Linked DNA regions of Ovis aries. The protein of the gene in region 4 interacts with the protein of the main gene of each other region in a biochemical or structural test. Links are inferred from orthologs where the notes say so. Each region holds a gene or a part of one and is shown on either strand. Other genes may lie near its edges.

Evidence for each region.
Region 1: the proteins of GTF2B (region 4) and GTF2F1 form a complex in vitro, tested with the Homo sapiens proteins (3 studies listed by BioGRID and IntAct). The link is inferred for Ovis aries from reciprocal best matches to the Homo sapiens genes GTF2B and GTF2F1.
Region 2: the proteins of GTF2B (region 4) and RELA form a complex in vitro, tested with the Homo sapiens proteins (2 studies listed by BioGRID and IntAct). The link is inferred for Ovis aries from reciprocal best matches to the Homo sapiens genes GTF2B and RELA.
Region 3: the proteins of GTF2B (region 4) and GTF2F2 form a complex in vitro, tested with the Homo sapiens proteins (2 studies listed by BioGRID and IntAct). The link is inferred for Ovis aries from reciprocal best matches to the Homo sapiens genes GTF2B and GTF2F2.
Region 5: the proteins of GTF2B (region 4) and GTF2E1 form a complex in vitro, tested with the Homo sapiens proteins (2 studies listed by BioGRID). The link is inferred for Ovis aries from reciprocal best matches to the Homo sapiens genes GTF2B and GTF2E1.

The regions. Positions count from the first base shown.
Region 1 is NC_056058.1:15,928,121-15,931,781, reverse strand, and holds the end of GTF2F1 (general transcription factor IIF subunit 1), read right to left. Parts: intron 3,342-3,661; coding exon 3,171-3,341; intron 2,692-3,170; coding exon 2,507-2,691; intron 1,950-2,506; coding exon 1,796-1,949; intron 1,711-1,795; coding exon 1,529-1,710; intron 1,434-1,528; coding exon 832-1,433; 3' UTR 741-831; coding exon of another isoform or gene 536-740; 3' UTR 501-535; downstream 1-500. UniProt on the Homo sapiens protein: TFIIF is a general transcription initiation factor that binds to RNA polymerase II and helps to recruit it to the initiation complex in collaboration with TFIIB. It promotes transcription elongation.
Region 2 is NC_056074.1:40,276,238-40,279,306, forward strand, and holds part of RELA (transcription factor p65), read right to left. Parts: intron 2,475-3,069; coding exon 2,370-2,474; intron 2,159-2,369; coding exon 1,946-2,158; intron 1-1,945. UniProt on the Homo sapiens protein: NF-kappa-B is a pleiotropic transcription factor present in almost all cell types and is the endpoint of a series of signal transduction events that are initiated by a vast array of stimuli related to many biological processes such as inflammation, immunity, differentiation, cell growth, tumorigenesis and apoptosis.
Region 3 is NC_056063.1:15,776,973-15,780,472, reverse strand, and holds part of GTF2F2 (general transcription factor IIF subunit 2), read right to left. Parts: intron 2,270-3,500; coding exon 2,126-2,269; intron 1-2,125. UniProt on the Homo sapiens protein: TFIIF is a general transcription initiation factor that binds to RNA polymerase II and helps to recruit it to the initiation complex in collaboration with TFIIB.
Region 4 is NC_056054.1:66,124,062-66,127,997, forward strand, and holds the start of GTF2B (transcription initiation factor IIB), read right to left. Parts: upstream 2,801-3,936; 5' UTR 2,732-2,800; coding exon 2,715-2,731; intron 1-2,714. UniProt on the Homo sapiens protein: General transcription factor that plays a role in transcription initiation by RNA polymerase II (Pol II). Involved in the pre-initiation complex (PIC) formation and Pol II recruitment at promoter DNA.
Region 5 is NC_056054.1:186,281,634-186,285,133, forward strand, and holds part of GTF2E1 (general transcription factor IIE subunit 1), read left to right. Parts: exon of another isoform or gene 1-13; coding exon of another isoform or gene 14-51; intron 52-1,643; coding exon 1,644-2,104; intron 2,105-2,618; exon of another isoform or gene 2,619-2,690; intron 2,691-3,500.

The DNA.
Region 1 (3,661 bases), on a different chromosome or scaffold from region 4:
AAAAGAAGGCATCAAAAACAGAAGGGGCCATACACTCAAAATAGACCTACTGATCTGAAAGAGAAACATACTTTGCAGAACTGAAAGACAGTGACATAAGTACTTATGGGTTTGTGCATGTGTGCTCAATCACGTCCGACTCTGCCACCCCATGGACTGTAGCCCCACCAGGCTCCTCTATTCATGGGATTTCCCAGACGAGAATACTGGAGTGGGTGCCTCCAGGGAAACTTCCTGACCCAGGGATTGAACCTGCGTCCCCTGCACAGGCAGAGCAGATTCTTCACCACTGAGCCACCTGAGAAGCCCTTTTAACGGGTTCAGCAGGTGGATAAGCCACAGCTGAAGAGAGAACCAGCCAAGTGAAAGACAGAGCTGAAAGAAATCAGCCAGCAGCTCCACGGAGGAGGCTGAGGGGCTAAGGAGAGGGTTAAGTCCTAAGAGGTGTCTACAGGCGGTGGGACAAGAGGCAGCGAGTGTGGGTATGAAGACCCTGAGGATTGTGGAAAATAGACCATGTTTATTGGGGGGAGCGTCACTCCTTGAGGGAGAAATGCATCTTGTCGTTGATCATCTTGCGCTCAGGGTTCAGGCGCTTCAGGATCTGAGCCAGCACATTCACTGTCTGCTCGCTGCTCAGCCCCGTCTTCTTGGTCTGGAACTTCTTCAGCAGGTCCTTGGTGGTCATGGGCTTCCGTGTCAGGTAGCGGCGCACGGCGTCTTCAGTCACTTGAACGTCACTGGAGGTGGGGAGCTGGGTGTCAGCGGGCGTCCTCTGTCCCTGAGCCCCCTGACCCCCACCCCCCACCGGCCCCTGCTGTGCTCGCCCACTTACCCACTGCTGGGGGTTGACTTCCCAGACTGGGGCTGAGGAGTGGATTTCCCGGACAAGCTCTGGGGCCCAGCGTCCAGTCGCAGCCGCTTAGCTGCCGGCGTTTCGCTGGTGCGCTTCCCTGTGGGAGGTGGCGGTGGGACTGAGACCAGGTCTGGGAGGCTGGACCACTGGGTAGGGGGGTGGGAGGACAGTGCTGGGATCATGTGTGCAAGGGGCTCAGAGGATGCGGAACAGGAAGACCAGGATGGGGTCAACAGCGGGGTAGGGCGGGCAGGGTGGGATGGTGGGGTACTACTCACCCTGCTCCAGCTTGCTGGCGGCTGCCCGGAGGGTGGAAGAAGTACTGCCTGCCTCAGTGCTGGGCGTGCCTGGCCGGCTGTTACCCCTGGAACTGCCCCCTGATGGCTTCCGCTCCCTTTTGGGGGGCGTCTTCTTTTTCTGTGGAGATCGCAACTGAGCATACATGTCAGGAGAGGGGCCCCCCACCGTCCTCCCTGGCCAGCCCTGCCTCGGCTGGGCCTTACCGCCATGAAGAGTGCTGAGGAGGCTTCACTGTCGATGTCACTCTCCTCCGAGCTGTCGGACTCCTCGCTGCTGTCTGCAAGGGGCCAGAGGAGGGGATGTCAGGACCGGAGACCCCTGAGCCAGCTCTCAGCCCTGTCCCAGATCAGGGCCTCAGAGGGAACAACCCACCTTTCCTCCGCTTCTTCTCCTGCGGCGTGGGCGCCTTCTTCTCCTCCTCCTCCTCCTTGTCCTCCTCAGGTGGCTTTTCCTCCTCACTCTCTTCGCTGCTCTCACTCTGCTCATCCACGCCCTTGGGGCCCTCCTCCTGCTGGGTGGCCTTGGGCTTGCCTTCCAGCTCATCCTGGGAGCTGCTGTAAGACAGAGAGCGGGCAGAGGGTGAGTAAGCACGTCTGCAGGCCGGCCCAGGGTCTCACACCCGCCTCCCGCCTGCCTCACCTGGAACCATCGGACATATAGTCCACCTCCTGGCCCTCGAAGTCCCCGTCATCACTGTCCTCAAAGGCCTCATCATCTGAGCCCTTCTTCTTCTTCTTCTTCCGGCCCCCCTTGCTGGGCAGTGCCTTCTTCTTGGTCTTGGGGGCTCTGCCACCTGGGGAGGGACAGACAAGGTGAGGGGCTCAGACGGGCATGCATCGTGTTGTGTGTATCTAATGATGCCTGGACATCTCAGGGGCTGTGGTGATGCCAGGAACGGCCCTAATTCCTCCAGGAGGCAGAGAGCTGGCCCAGGGTTGTACCAATCACCCACCGCCAAGCAAGCAATCCCAACTTCACACCCCTAGACAACCCCTTTCTCTAACTCACACTCAGGGCTGCCATTGCTGCCCTAAATCACCTGGGCCAGCCAGCCACCGGGCAACCAGAGACCACCCCTTGGCCCAGAGGCTGCTGGCACGACTCAAACTGGCCAGTCTTAAGGCCATTCCCATGGAAATCCCAGGTGAGGCCATGGCCAAGAAAGACCTTCCTGGGGCCTCCTAACCAACCCTGGTGCTTCCCCCAGCGGCCAAGCTCCTGGGGGAACAGGGGTCTGCAAGTAACCAAGCAATCCTTTCAGGGGCATTCACTTTTCTGAGTCATCACACAAGACCTGAATTAATTACAACTGCGGCCCCAGCTGCCCAGGGCTGGCTACATCTGCCTCACCCTCCTCGCCGCTGGCCTCGCTGTCATCCGACGACATCTCCAGGTCGTCCTCCAGGTCGTGGATGCGCAGCTCGCTGGCCTTCTTTCTGCTGCGCTTCTCCTTCTCCTCATCCTCCTCGTCCTGGTCCTGGTCTTTCAGCCGCCGCTGCTGCATGATGCTGAAGTGGTTCAGGACCTTGTTTCTCCTGTGGGGCGGGGGGCAGTGTTACAGCAGGGGCTGGCAGCGGGCCTGGCTCCGGGGACCCCCTCTGGGAGTGGGCCTCATCCACTGATGCCTCCCTGCACTTCCACCAGGTGTGCCCCGAGGGAGAGCCACTGACACAACTTAGGTGATGAGAGGGACGACCTGACCCTGAACATGGGGACACAAGCACGTGGCAGAAAGACCCTGAGAGCACACAGGGAGAGCTGGCCCTCCTTTGGTTCCCTGCCTGCCCAGAGTCCCTCAGGAGAAGGTCTCGTGTGATGCTGACACCCTAGCACCGGATCCAACTCCCCACTTCTCCAGTCCCTCTCCCCGCTGTCTCCAGTCCATCTGCCCCCTGGACTGGGTGCTCCTGAGCAGTGGAGAGATCTGGCTTGCTCACCGCTGAGTCCCCAGCTCCCAGCCAGGCACAATGTCGGGGGGTTGCAGCCCTTTTCTAGGCGTGGCCCCATCACTCACCTCTCCCACTCCTCCTCAGCCTCCTCGGCCGTGAGCGTGCGGTGCTTGGCCAGCGGCGTGAAGTTATACCAGTTGTGGACAGGGAAGGCCTCGAAAGCCCCATCAGGGCACTGGGTGAAGATGTAGTAGGAGGTGTTTTCTGTCACGCCGCCCTTCTTTATGCCCTTGAACCTGCAGGGAGTTCAAGGTCACAGTCTGTGTGGGGAAGAAGGACTAGTGCCACATCCAGACAACACCCCCTGCATCCCTCTCTCCAGGGCCATCTGGGTTCTCCTAGCAAAACCTGAGGCTGGAAGGCTGGCCCGCTGACTGCCTGAGCCTGGATTCCCACATCTGGAAAAGGTGGGCTTCCTGCCCTCACAGAGCAGACTTAGGGCTCCTGTGCACTATACACGACATGGTCCTTTCTGGAAGGACCTGTTAGATGGGCCCTAAAGAGCACAGTGCTCTAGTGTCAGACCCCTCTGGATTCCCCTCCGGAATCTTCCTTG
Region 2 (3,069 bases), on a different chromosome or scaffold from region 4:
CACTCCACGAATATAAGAATGCCGTGACTTTTTGAGACCTCCATTAGCTGAATGTGGCCTCCAAAGGCCACACAGGTGACCCCAAGTCAGGAGCCAGGAGCCGTCGCAGGGTCCCACCTCAGGCTTCTCTCACCTGCACTGCTGACGTCCCTGCTCCCGTCCAGCCCTGACCAGGCCTGGTGCTGCGCGCTCTGCTTTCTGGGGCAGCCCGAGCATGACAGGCTGGCTTAAGACTTCAACAGACTCTTAACCTTCTCTCTGATCATTTCTGAGTTTAGTCTGGAGCTTTCCGAACTCTCTAACTACTGCAGCACTTGGAGAAGCCCAAAGCACTTGACGTCAAGAGCCCAAAGCCAACCTCACCGTCTCACCTCAAGCACCTGATCCTGGTTCCCTCCCCTTTGGTGTTCCCGCCCTACCTCTTTTGCCCTGTTCCCAAACCTTGGACACATCCTCAGCAGCTTCCTCTTTCTCACTCCCCACCATTCACCCTCTAGACACATGTTCACCAAGCATCTGCGTGCCAGGCTCCATTAGAGCCACTGGAGGTATGGCCCTGAATAAGCAGACAAGGTTCCTGTTCCCCAAAGCTGTGACATCCAAGGGACAGAGGGGCACTGACACAAGTGATAGGAGCTGAGGAGGAGACCAGGGCGAGTAACAGCGCCAGAGGTAAGGTCGAGGGGTCCAGGGAAGCACCGGTGTGAGCCCACCGTGTGAAGATCTGGGGGCCAAGCGTTTCGAGCAGAGGCAACAGCTAGAGCACAGGTCCCCAGGAGGACACAAAGGGCCCTTGGGCTCAGGGTCTTGGAGGAGGCCTGCAGTGGGTGAGACGGTCTCGTGCGTTCTGTCTGTGAGGTTCACACAGCACCTTTTCTCCCGGAACGACCGGAACATCTTCCGAAACCTCCCCACCCCATGTCCCCCCTCTCAGATGCTCTGCACGCTGCTTCCAGACCTGCTCACGTCACTTCTCTGTTCAGAAACCTTTGGTGGCTCCCGAGGCCTTAGGATGTGACCCCAGATGAACGCAAGTCCAGCCTTCAAGGCCCTTCTGCCGGAGCCTGCTCACTACCCGACGACGTGAACTCTTGCCACAAAGCTGTCCCCAAACGTGCTGTGCCCGTTCCCTGCCCTTCTGCTCCACCCGCCTAGAGAATGCGCTTCTGGGTCTTTCTCCAATCTAAATGCTACCTCCTCCACGCGGCCGGTTCCAGTTCCCACAGTATTCTGCACACACCTCGCTGCTTCACGCGTCATTCTGTGACACAGGCTGCTGTTTTGCATGTGTGCCTTCCTCATGTGACCGAGCTCCCAAAGGGCAGGGAACGTGTCTTATCCATCTTTGGATTGATGATACCTGGCGCAGAGCCTGGTGCCAAGTGGACACTCAGTCCTCATCTGGTGGGATGAACTGATGGCTGTTTCAGGCCTTGTTTTCCAGACTGTTAAACAGGTCCCAGGGCAGGACACACTTTCAGGCTGGATGACAGGCTTCAGATAAAGGATCACTTTGGCTGTTCCTATTTGAGCAGATGCCCGAAAGCCCTGACCACAGCATGGCTGTGTGGTGGTGATAAGTATAGATACACTGTGGCAACAGGTCCCAGAAGCCAGATGGCCTGGGTTCAAATGAGGTCTGGGTCTATAACTCACTAGCTATGTGACCTAAGGCAAGTTAGATGCTATCTCCCACCTCAAAAGGTTCATGAGAGAATAAAATCAGGTAATTCACTGATATGCCTGGAATAGGGCCACACATATCACAAGAGCTCAGTAAGTCTTGGGCACCACTATTAAATGAGGTGAGAAGAAGAATCTGATTACTATGGAAATCTGCCCAACCCCAGCTTCTGACCTTCACCTACAGCTGTGGCATCCAGCCCGGCCTCACTCCCACCGGCTGGAGCCCACAGCCCTGCTGCTGCCCTGCCCAGCTGGGTACCTGTGTCTGGCAAGTACTGGAATTCCATGGGCTCGCTGAGCTCCCGATCAGAAGGCCGCCGCAGCTGCATGGAGACACGCACAGGGGCCTGCAGGCTGGGGTCCGCATAGGGCGGCGTCCGGAACACGATGGCCACTTGCCGGTGCACGTCAGCTTGTGAAAAAGAGCCTCGGGCCTCCCAGCCTGGTCCCGTGAAATACACCTCGATGTCCTCTGCAGGAGACAGGGCGGCCGTGTGGGTGCTCAGCTTCCCCAGCCCGCCGCCCCCTGCAATTGCCGATACTAGTCTCTAGAGATGCATGGCCCTGCTGTCCCCAAAGAGTTGGGGACAGTGCTTAAACCAGCTCCTTAACACTTAGTGTGTCTGCTCAGCCTTGCCCCTTGCCTCCTGCTCCTGGGTCCAGCCCTCCTTCTGGCTGTGTACCTTTCTGCACCTTGTCACACAGCAGGAAGATCTCGTCCCCGCCGAGGCAGCTCCCAGAGTTCCGATTTACCCGGCAGATCTTAAGCTCAGCGGTGTTGGGGGCGCCTGAAGGTGTGGGAATAAGGAAGGAAGCCCTGAACCACCGGCAGTCTCCCGGGCTGACCTGCAGGAAAATGCGGCTCCTGCCCAGCCCAGGGTCAAGGTTGTCTAGAATTTGCTGACTACACCTCTGCAGCCAAGATTCAACCATTCCCATTGGCTCCTCACACCAACCAATTCAGCAACTCTGCCGGCACCTACTCCATGCCCAGCTCTGCTCTAGGCCTGAAGAACATAACCACGCACAAAAGGTAAACATCTCTGCCATCATGAAGCATACAGTCCTACGAGAACCAAAGCGATCACAACTGCTGTTTCTCCACCTGACCCAGGCAGTATTCAAGACCCATTCATACACGCTCTGGCAATGAATCCTTCCCTCCTGAGCCCCCCACCCCCACACACACTGGTTCATCCTGGTTTTCTGGCCTTGGGGCTCCAAAGCCTTTTTATTTTCACGTATCCTACTGGCTACTTTTAAACTGCAGTTGACCAATGTCAGCCCAATCCATCTGTAAACTTCCTGTGAGCTTTCCTCATTGAATTCTTAGTTTCTAACATTATCTCGTTCCTGGAAGTTCATTTCCTGGAGTCCTCAGTA
Region 3 (3,500 bases), on a different chromosome or scaffold from region 4:
AGCCCATGGTGACCACGTCCAGTCCTATCCTCTACACGAGAGTAACTGCAGCTCCGGCACTCTATGCTTTACTGAGACAGCTCTTTGTACCCCGCTCCTGCCACAGACAACAGGAGGTCTGTCAAAATCCACCTGAGGAAAATACGCTGGTCCTAAAAGGTAAAGGATGTCACCGTCTCCTTTTCCTTAAATCAATTTATCTAATATTTACTAGATTGCTACTATGTTTGTGTTGTGGAATGTATGAATATTTAGGGATGTGAATAATATACAAACCTGCCTTCAAAAACTTAATGCTTTAGAGGCAATTTAGTCCCTACATAATAAAACTACTATAAAATAATTCAGTTTCTAGATCAGTGGTTCTCAAGCTCTTTGAGGTTCCGAGGTTCTCTGAGAATCTGACATAAACTACAAACCTGCTCCCCAGAAAAATCCACACATTTCTGTACATATTCAGGGGGTTGCTGGATCTCCTAAGCCTACTGACCATGAATTAAGAGGTTCTGTTAAGAGAGTCACTGAGTTCCGCCAGATAAAAATTATCTGAACAGCCAAGACGGAGAGAAAGCTAGTTATTCTTTTTCTCTGCTGCAAAATGAATAAACTTTAAAAATATTATGTCTTTCCCTGTGAAGGCAAAGAAAGAGCTTTGCTTAGTACTTATCTGAATGTCCCTCTATAAACACTTATTTTCCCACATCTAACTGTGTGTGTGTGTTTTATTCTATGAGACTATGTCATTTGCATCCAGAATATCTGGAATAGCCTTTTCATGTATATATAAAAATACAAAGATAAACTTCATTAAAAGCAGAAGAAATGGAGTTTAGCTTATGAATTATTCTATTTCAAATTTTCTAATCTAGCTTGGAATGCTGTTTCTAAGGCTTTGATGCTGAAGGGAGTGAAGTCATTAAGATGAGTTGATAATACTGCCAGCATGAGCACTTTCCTTCTCTTTGGTTAAAGAAAAGTATTTAGGTCTTTTGGAATTCTAATTTCTTTCTTAATGAAATAGTGAAAGGATGAAGTGTAACAGTAAAGAAATCTCTACAGAAGTGGGAAACTGCACCATCAATACTGAAGTTTCAGAAATAATTTCCTGAAGCTTTGAATACATAAAAAAAACCAAACAAACCATGGAGCCATTTATGTCAAAATATTTCACAAAACCGGTTATCTTGTTACATATGCTGAAGCAAATAAATGGAGCAGTTAGAATTAACATATTCTTGGGTATCCTGGCAAGGTGGATAAAATGATAAAGGAAAACTGGGTAAGAGGACAAAAATAAAGGGGTTTCCACCTAATTTTTAAAAACCTGTAAGTAAAATACTGCTATAATTCAATCTGACACTTTGCTAAGCTTAGGTGTGAGAGAGCTAAATGGAAGGAAACATGGCCCAAAGACTAGAGAAAGGGTTTCAATTCCTTGTTTCCAGCATTTTAAATGGATTAGAAACACAGATTATTTGCAGATAGGTATTAATACAAACGTCTGGAGAAGTGATTAAAAAACGATTATTTATAGAACAAAACTTCTCTAAAACATCAACTTATTAAAAATTTCCTTGAAAATGGAGACTAGGCCAACCCAAGCATAATCTCAACAAGCACTGTGAGGCTCTACAGCTCAAGTTTGAAAGGACCTAATGTTAGTGCTAGATGATTTTTAAAAAAATCCACAGAGAACAGTTCACGAGACAGGGATACACACTCACTGTGAAAAAACAGTGACTCTTAAAGTTGAGCTTTTCTAGAGGGAGGCAGAAGAACAAACGGAAGAGTAGAAATGCTGTAAACAAGAGACTTCAGGCTTAACGCCAAGGGTCAGTCAAAAGGAGGACAAATCCGCCTCGTCTCCATACGAACTACTGATACTAAAGGTATTTAAAATTCAAACAGTGAAGCTGAGATTAAAAAAAGAAGCAGAGAGAAAGGAAGAGAGGGGAAGACAGGAAGGAAGTTTACGCGGAGGCATCTTTTCCATGCTGGAACTAAACCTGCCACCAGCATAGGTGCAAGCGAACATACTAATTCACAATATGCTTCTCTTCAGTAAAGCCGTGTTAATGAAGCCAATTTAAACCCATTTAAAGGATCAGTGTGAGCATATACATACCACAGGTTGTTTTGTGATGTCCACCAAGTCCTTCAGGTTATAATACTGATGCTTCTCAAAAGCTGAAAACAGCATGTCCAAAACGTGTTGTTTATCAGCTCGGGCTCGTTTTCCATCTTCTTTCTTTTTCCTTTCATATTCAATCTATGTGGAAAAAGCAAAAGTCCCGAAGGCATCAGTTCAGCGTGCTCACTCTGAAACCCAGGGACTCTTTTCCGTCCTCCACTGTTAGGTATTAAATCGCAAGGCAGCAGGTCAAAGAGTGGTGGTTCAGTACCTGTGGCCTTCACCACTCTCAGGGCTCCTCAGACCTTTACGGCTCCAGGAAGGTTAGTGCCCACCAGTAAAGCATTTTCACCGTTCCCTAAAGCTTTATGTAATGTGTCCATTTCCTCCCCCAAAGCCCATCTTCACAGAAATCACATCATGTGGATCACAAAGTCTATTTGCAACTCTTGGTTTTTGATTACCCAAGTGGAGTCGCTCAGTCGTGTCCGACTCTTTGCAACCCCATGGACTGTAGCCTACCAAGCTCCTCTGTCCATGGGATTTTCCAGGCAAAGGTACTGGAGTGGATTGCTATTTCCTTCTCCAATGATTACCCAAAATACAGTAAAAGAGTTTATCTGCTCGATGCCATTTGGTAGGTAATATCTTTCAAAATGACAGTTTTTCAGGGCAGGAAGAAGGCTGAGGGGCAGGCAGATCAGATAATAGGTTTTCTAGGGAGGAAAAGCTTGGGAAATCAAATCTTGGTAAAAAGCAAAGAACAAGGGTGGTGACAGGCGGCCTTTTCTCCTCCCAACCCCATGGCCTCCTTGAACTTGCTTCTTCTGTAAAATGAAGTAAGCAATGGCACAAATGGTGACACCATCCCGTGGTTTACAAATGCATATATGTGTGCATTTGTAAAAAAGTTAACTCTTTATTGAAAACATGCAATTTGCTCGCATTCATGTCAGTTGATTAAGCTTTTCATTTTTTTTTTTCCAAACTTTATCTTGATAAAGCCTCAGAAACTTGTTAGAGGACAGGTATATATACACTGTAGGGCTTCCTTGGCGGCTCATGGTAAAGAACTCTCCTGCCAATGAAGGAGATGCGAGTTCGATCTCTGGGCCAAGAAGATCCCCTGGAGAAGGCAATGGCAACCCACTCCAGTATTCTCGCCTGGAGAATCCCATGGACGGAGGAGCCTGGTGGGCTACAGTCTGTGGGGTCGCAAAACAGTCGGACGTGAGTTAGTGACTAAACAGCAACAGAGACTGCAGCAGCCCACCTGGTCAATAAAGCATCGGCAGGCCGGGTAAAAGCTGTCGGAGAACAATCTTTTGTGCATCAGCAGAATTACTATGAGAGAGAGGCTAGCTTCAAA
Region 4 (3,936 bases):
GTATTTATTCGGGAGACTTGGGTGACAGCTAAGTGTACATGCTCACTTTGTAACTGAACTGCACACTTAAAATCTGTGTGCTAAAAACTTCACAAAAAAAGGTAAAAAGCAAGATGGCATTCATTTTTTATATTAGACTACTTTTTGGAAGGAAGAGAGGTTAGGATTATATGAATATGTTTGTTAAACCACAGAATCATTAGGAAAACACCAAGAAACTGGTTACAATGACTGCTTTGGAGAAGAATTAGATGGCTAGGAGCGAGGGAAAAAAGAAACTGCTTTTCACTTTTCTTCTTGCTTTTTATGATTTGCATGTGTTACCTATTCAAAATAAAATAAAATTGTGCTCAAGCAGTTAACTTTTAATTAAATAACCCACAAGGGTAATACAAAAGAGGAACCACAAGAGTAGGGTAGTGGGGGAAGTCAGGGAAAGAAACAAGAGGGAAGGAATGGAGTATACCACCACCACTGACATTAAAACAACTTAGGCTGCCTAAGAAGCCACATAATTCCTAACTTCATTTTATAGCTATCCTTTACTGTGTCTAGTACTGTACATCTATTATTAATCTTCATTAGCAACCCTTCAAATTAAGCATTGCTGCTACTGCTGCTAAGCTGTTTCAGTCGTGTCCAACTCTGTGCGACCCCACAGACGGCAGCCCAGGAGGCTCCCCCATCCCTGGGATTCCCCAGGCAAGAACAATGGAGTGGGTTGCCATTTCCTTCTCCAATGCATGAAAGTGAAAATCGAAAGTGAAGTTAGTCGTGTCCGACCCTCAGCAACCCCATGTACTGCAGCCTTCCAGGCTGCTCCTTCCATGGGATTTTCCAGGCAAGAGTACTGGAGCAGGGTGCCATTGCCTTCTCCACAAATTAAGCATTACCTCTATTTTAAAGATTATGCTCAGAGAATGATTTTCCTGAAGTCACAGAACTAATGAGTGGTAGAGTTTAGATCTGAACTCACAACATTTGTGTTCTTCTCTGTGAAAACACCAAGCAGTTTCATAGTCCAGTAACTGTCCCTCTTCCTCAGGGGGAAAAAAGCTATCACAGAAATACTAACATCCACCTTTGTTCTCACGGGTAAAAAAAACTCAGAGATGGACAACTGCAATAAACCTAGGGAAAATTTATTTCAAAGAAATATCTCACATTTTTTCTTTTAATGAAGAGAATAAAGCACACAAAGGAAATGTTTCCGTAAAGAATCTATCAAGTGAATTTCCTATATGTAACTACTACAATATGTTATAATAAAGCCCCAATATAACCATATTCATAGCAGATCTGCCCTAGGAGAATGTTATATATAGGTGTTCTTGGGAAGCTAGTTCTCCATTTACCTACAAGGAACCCTAACCTGACAGAGCCACACCCAAGTAGAATGATTGAACATTTAATCACAGAATTAGAATCAGTAAACAAGTATCACTGGCCATAAGAGCTGTTTCCAAGTAGTTTAGCTAAGGCTGCCTCCTGCCCCATCTTTTTAAAATACAGTAACACAAAGTAGTAAGCCTTGGTACTCACCAGAAAGGGCCTGTACTACTCAAAGATTATCATTTTGTGATGATGGCTTTCATCAGGAACTCAATTCCAAAGATGAGAACAAGTTCAGAAAAATTATGCCAGAGTTACCTTGCCTTCCAGAAGCTACAGAACTTAATCTGATATGTTTAGTACATTATGAGTTACCAAGTGTGACAACAGGAAACAGATATCTGAGATTCTATACTCTGTTCTAATACTAACCTTCGAAAAGCCAACATGGGCATGACTCAGTTTACACTTAGGCAAAAATCCTAATATCTACCTCAGGGTCATGAGAGACATAATTAGGGTCTGCAAGCATTTTTCACGTCACAGGATTAAAGGCTGTCTCTAATGCCACTGTATGCATTTGCAGTAGGTATCAATCAGTACATCACATTTTAAAAATATATTAGTGACTTCTCTGCTGCGGCTGCTGTTAAGTCGCTTCAATCGTGTCCGACACTGTGCGACCCCATAGATGGCAGCCCACCAGGCTCCCCCGTCCCTGGGCTTCTCCAGGCAAGAACACTAGAGTGCGTTGCCTTCTGAGTGACTTCCCAGTATGTTAATTTTCTGCAGGCAAAATTTTCTTCAGGAGTATGCAGATGACATCTCTAAAGAAATCTCTTAAGGAGACTTATCAACTCTTCAGAAATGCCTTAGCTTCCACTTCAAAAGGCCTCGGGGATGGTTATCAGTTTCCATCAGGTTTACCAACGCTGACGTCCCTAACTTTTTGTCAGATGGATAAAGGCCTAGAACTAACCCTTTCCCGCTCTCTAGAAGAGGATTCACGGACCCTCCGCTGGCAGACCAACAGATTAAAAAAAACAAGCGTAGAAAATTTAGGAAAAAAGGACAGTTGGATCATACGCAAAAGACCCGAGGCCAGGGGCTGGGGACACCGGAGCCCCCCACATGATAGTGCCTGAGTGAGAAAACGACCAAGGACGCTGGAGGAGAAACGCCGGCGGCTCGTTATCCCCTGCGACACCCCTGACAGCCCTGCGTCTGGAAGTGCCTTTGTCCCGGGCGGCCAGCCGGTCCGGCTGCCTCTCCCCGCACTTCCGAGGCGTTCTGCTCGACGAAGCAGCGGGAGCGGCCGCCCTGCTAGCCCCGGCACTCGCCGCCCGCCCTTCAGCTGGCTGGGCTCTACATGACGTACTAACCGGCTGGTAGACGCCATCTTCCCGGCCACTGCGGCTCCAGCTACAAACAACGACAGACGCAACCGCAAACAGGAAGAGACAGTGGCGACGAAACGCAGCGAGACGGGCTTTTATAGGCGAATCGCCCACGCAGTCGTAATAGGGCGTGGCTACGGGTCCGGAGAAGGGCCAAGAACAGTGAGCTCGGGTACGCCCCGTGCTTTGCGTTTTCTTACTTCCCTATTCACTTTCGATCATTTTCTATGTGGCTGGGCAAATATAGGAAATCACCCGGGAAAATTCCCAAGGGCACTCTGCAAACGTGCTGCACCAGAGATACCCTCAACTTGACTGAGTTACAACACAAAATACTGGGCTCCGTGGAGGGGGCAAAGCCCGCATCCGTTCACTTCAGTTCAGTCGCTCAGTCGTGTCCGACTCTTTGTGACCCCATGAATCGCAGCACTCCAGGCCTTCCTGTCCATCACCAATTCCCGGAGTCCACCCAAACCCATATCCATCGAGTCGGTGATGCCATCCAACCATCTCATCCTCTGTCATCCCTTTCTCCTCCTGCCCTTAATCTTTCCCAGCATCAGGGTCTTTTCAAATGAGTCAGCTCCTCGCATCAGGTGGCCAAAGTATTGGAGTGGCAGCTTCAACATCAGTCCCAGCAATGAACACCCAAGACTGATTTCCTTTAGGATGGACTGGTTGGATCTCCTTGCAGTCCAAGGGACTCTCAAGAGTCTTCTCCAATAACGCAGTTCAAAGGCATCAATTCTTTGGTGCTCAGCCTTCTTTATAGTCCAACTCTCACATCCATACATGACCACAGGAAAAACCATAGCCTTGACTAGACGGACCTTTGTTGACAAAGTAATGTCTCTGCTTTTTAATATGTTGTCTAGGTTGGTCATAACTTTCCTTCCAAGGAGCAAGTGTCTTTTAATTTCTTGGCTGCAATCACCATCTGCAGTGATTTTGGAGCCCAGAAAAATAAAGTCAGCCATTGTGTCCACTGTTACCCATCTATTTGCCATGAAATGATGGGACCAGATGCCATGATCTTAGTTTTCTGAATGTTGAGTTTTAAGCTAACTTTTTCACTCTCCCCTTTCACTTTCATCAACAGGCTTTTTAGTTCTTCCTCACTTTCTGCCATAAGGGTGGTGTCATGTGCATAACTGAGGTTATTGATAATTCTCCCAGCAATCTTGATTCCAGCTTGTGCTTCCCCCAG
Region 5 (3,500 bases), about 120 Mb from region 4:
CTTAAGCCTTGGAATGACAGAAAGCCTCAAGGACCACAAGTTTGAATCTAGGTGCTACTTTGTTATCTCTTATATTTATTCATGCCTGAGTATTTATAATCCAAAATAAATATTATAACTATTCCCTTTTATTTTTCCTTTATTACAGGTCAGGTATTATATCCCTTCCCCTGTATGTGTATGTTATTGGCTATTTAGAAATACCTTTATAGTACTGTGGATATAAATATATTTCTTATAAAAAGGTATTAAATCTAATAAGGTTAATAACTACTGATTTTAAATAAAAGGGTCAGGAGAAACTAGTATTAATAACAGTATGATTCCCTGTTGAAACAGTTCAATAGGATGTCTGTTAGAAATTTTCTTGTAGTGTAGGGACACATTAAATTGATATTCAAGCACTTTGTTAACAAGTGCTTTCTAAGCACGTTGGACTTTCCTGGTGGCTCAGATGGTAAAGCATCTGCCTACAATGCGGGAGACCCAGGTTTGATCCCTGGGTCGGGAAGATCCGCTGGAGAAGGAAATGGCAACCCACTCCAGTAATCTTGCCTGGAAAATCCCATGGACGGAGGAGCGTGGTAGGCTACAGTCCATGGGGTTGCAAAGAGTCGGACACGACTGAGTGACTTCACTTTTTTCACTCTAAGCACATTACATTCTCATTAATTCACCACAACCTCATTGAGGCAGTTGATATTATCCTTATTTCTCAGGGAGTAAAGTGTGCCTTGAAGTTGTTAAGGAATTTGCTTAGAGTCACACAGCCACAAATTCAAATCCCAGGCTCTTTAACAGTCACATGGAAGTCTAGTTTATGCCGGTTTGGGCTTCTAGAAGACCGTACTCTGGGTACAGTTAGCTTCTGCTTGTCCTGCAGGGGATCCAGTATTTAAGGATATCTTGGTCTTTGTTGTTGTTTTTAAGAACTGTATAGCATTTGCTTATTTGGTCATTTATCTTTTCAAGGTTGGTAAAGTGGTATGTAGTTGTTCATTTCTTTCGGATTTTTAACAGTAATTTTGCCAGTCCCCCCAACTGGTCATTATTTAGGTGTTTTATTGGTTTCTTATGAGTTTATTATGAGAGCCAGACTGTGTAGAACATCCTACAATCTATCTTGGTAGAAAAATTTTACTCAAGAAATAAAGACACTTAAAAGAGTATGCTAACTGCTAACTAAGTTTCTCAGGGTTTTTTTTCCCCCCAGCATTCCCAAAGATGTGTAGCTTTAAGAATAATGAATGAGACTTTATTTAGCCTTTTTGTGTTTCTCTTTCTGAAATAAAGTGGGTTTGATACAATATATCATTGTATCATTGCTGTAAATAATGTTGCTTTTTGGAATTAAACACTCTGTAGGTCATGAAAATAACCATTTAAGAAATATGTCAAGCTTTTTATGTGTAATCTTTTGTGTACTCTAAAGGAATATCTTGTTCTCTTGTTACATGCTTGGGCATTATAAATCTTTTAAAAACAACACTTTGAGTACTATTGTGGTACTCCAAGAATACTGGTTATCAGCTACTTAATGGGTTGATTATTTTAGATTTAAAATGATTGCTTTGTCCATATTCTAGATAATTTTCTCTCTCTCTCTCTTTTTTTTTTTTCTGACCGTACATTTGAAATTGAAGTTTGCTGCTAAAGATGGCAGATCCAGATGTCCTCACTGAGGTTCCTGCAGCATTGAAGCGGCTAGCAAAGTACGTGATCCGGGGATTTTATGGCATTGAGCATGCTTTGGCCTTGGACATCTTGATCCGAAACCCCTGTGTGAAAGAGGAGGACATGCTGGAGCTTCTCAAATTTGATCGGAAGCAACTTCGATCAGTCTTGAATAATTTAAAGGGAGACAAGTTCATCAAGTGCAGAATGAGGGTAGAGACTGCTGCAGATGGGAAAACCACTCGCCACAACTACTACTTCATCAATTATCGTACTCTTGTTAATGTGGTAAAATATAAATTGGACCACATGAGAAGGAGGATTGAAACTGATGAGAGAGATTCCACCAACCGGGCTTCCTTCAAATGTCCTGTCTGTAGTAGTACTTTTACAGACTTAGAAGCTAATCAGCTGTTTGATCCCATGACAGGTGAGATTTTTCCAGTTAATGAATCTTTCTTTTAAGTAACTTTTTAGAATAAAGTGTATATCCTTTATCTTAAATTGATTTACATAGTTTTTAAACTGATTATATGTATCATTGTGTGCTCAGTTGTGTCCAACTCTTTGTGGCCCCATGGACTGTAGCCTGTCTGGCTCCTCTGTCCATGGGATTTCCCAGGCAAGCATACTGGAGTGGGTTGCCATTCCCTACTTCAGAGGATCTTCCTGACCCAGAGATCAAACTCTCACCTTTTGCATCTCCTGCACTGACAGGTGAATTCTTTACTACTAGCGCCACCTGGGAAGCTCTGTAGTGTAGTGTAGTATAGTATAGTATAGTATAGTATAGTATAGTATAGTATAGTATAGTAAAGTGAAGTCGCTTAGTCGTGTCCAACTCTTTGCGACCCCGTGAACTGTAGCCTACCAGGCTTCTCTGTCCATGGGATTCTCCAGGCAAAATTACTGGAGTGGGTTACCATTTGCTTCTCCAGGGGATCTTCCCGACCCAGGGATCGAACCTGGGTCTCCAGCATTGGAGGCAGACGCTTTAACCTCTGAGCCACCAGGGAAGCTATATCATTATAAAAGGGAATATATTGGTGTAAGTAAGCATATAGTCATTCTTAGCCTTAATGTCCAATTTGTCATACTACTTTTAGGAGCTATTGCAAAGCATTTCTCCTTTACAAGGGATTTACTCATCCATGGACTATTCTTTCACCCATGGCCCTTCCACCTCTCCTTCCACTCCCATCCCTTGTTTACAACTGCAGCCTAATCTGAAGGGTTTACTTTCCCTACCACTTTGAGGCTATTCTGACTTTACTGAGTTTACTTTTGACCTTTTCATTCAGCAAATATTTGAGCATTTTCTTGTGCCAATCACTGCCAGACAGTTATAATAAATGCTTATTATTAGTACTTAAATACTTGGTTAGTAGAAATGCAAAGTGCTCTCAGGAGGACATAACTAGGGCGGCTAATCTGGTTTTGGGAAGGCCTCTGAAAGAAATTAAATAGCAGGGGCCTAAAAGATAAGTTAAAGTTAACCAGATGAAATAAGAGGGAGCACCCTTTCCGCTTAAGTTAACAATATATATTTAGTTTCTTAGCCAGTCATTGATGGAAGAGAATTGTCAACAAGAGTTATAAATTGTTTCATTTCATTAAATACTTAGTTTTAAGGATTTTTCTGATCAACACAGAATTTACAAAACGTGTTTTCTGAAAATATAACGTCTAACATTAACATGAGAAACTTTAAATTGCTGACTTGTATAGTTGTGTTGCTATTTGTAAATTGGAAAATAGACTATAGTTTTACTAATTACTTAGTAGATCAATCTTGTATTAAAAATCTGTAAAAACCTAAGAAAGAA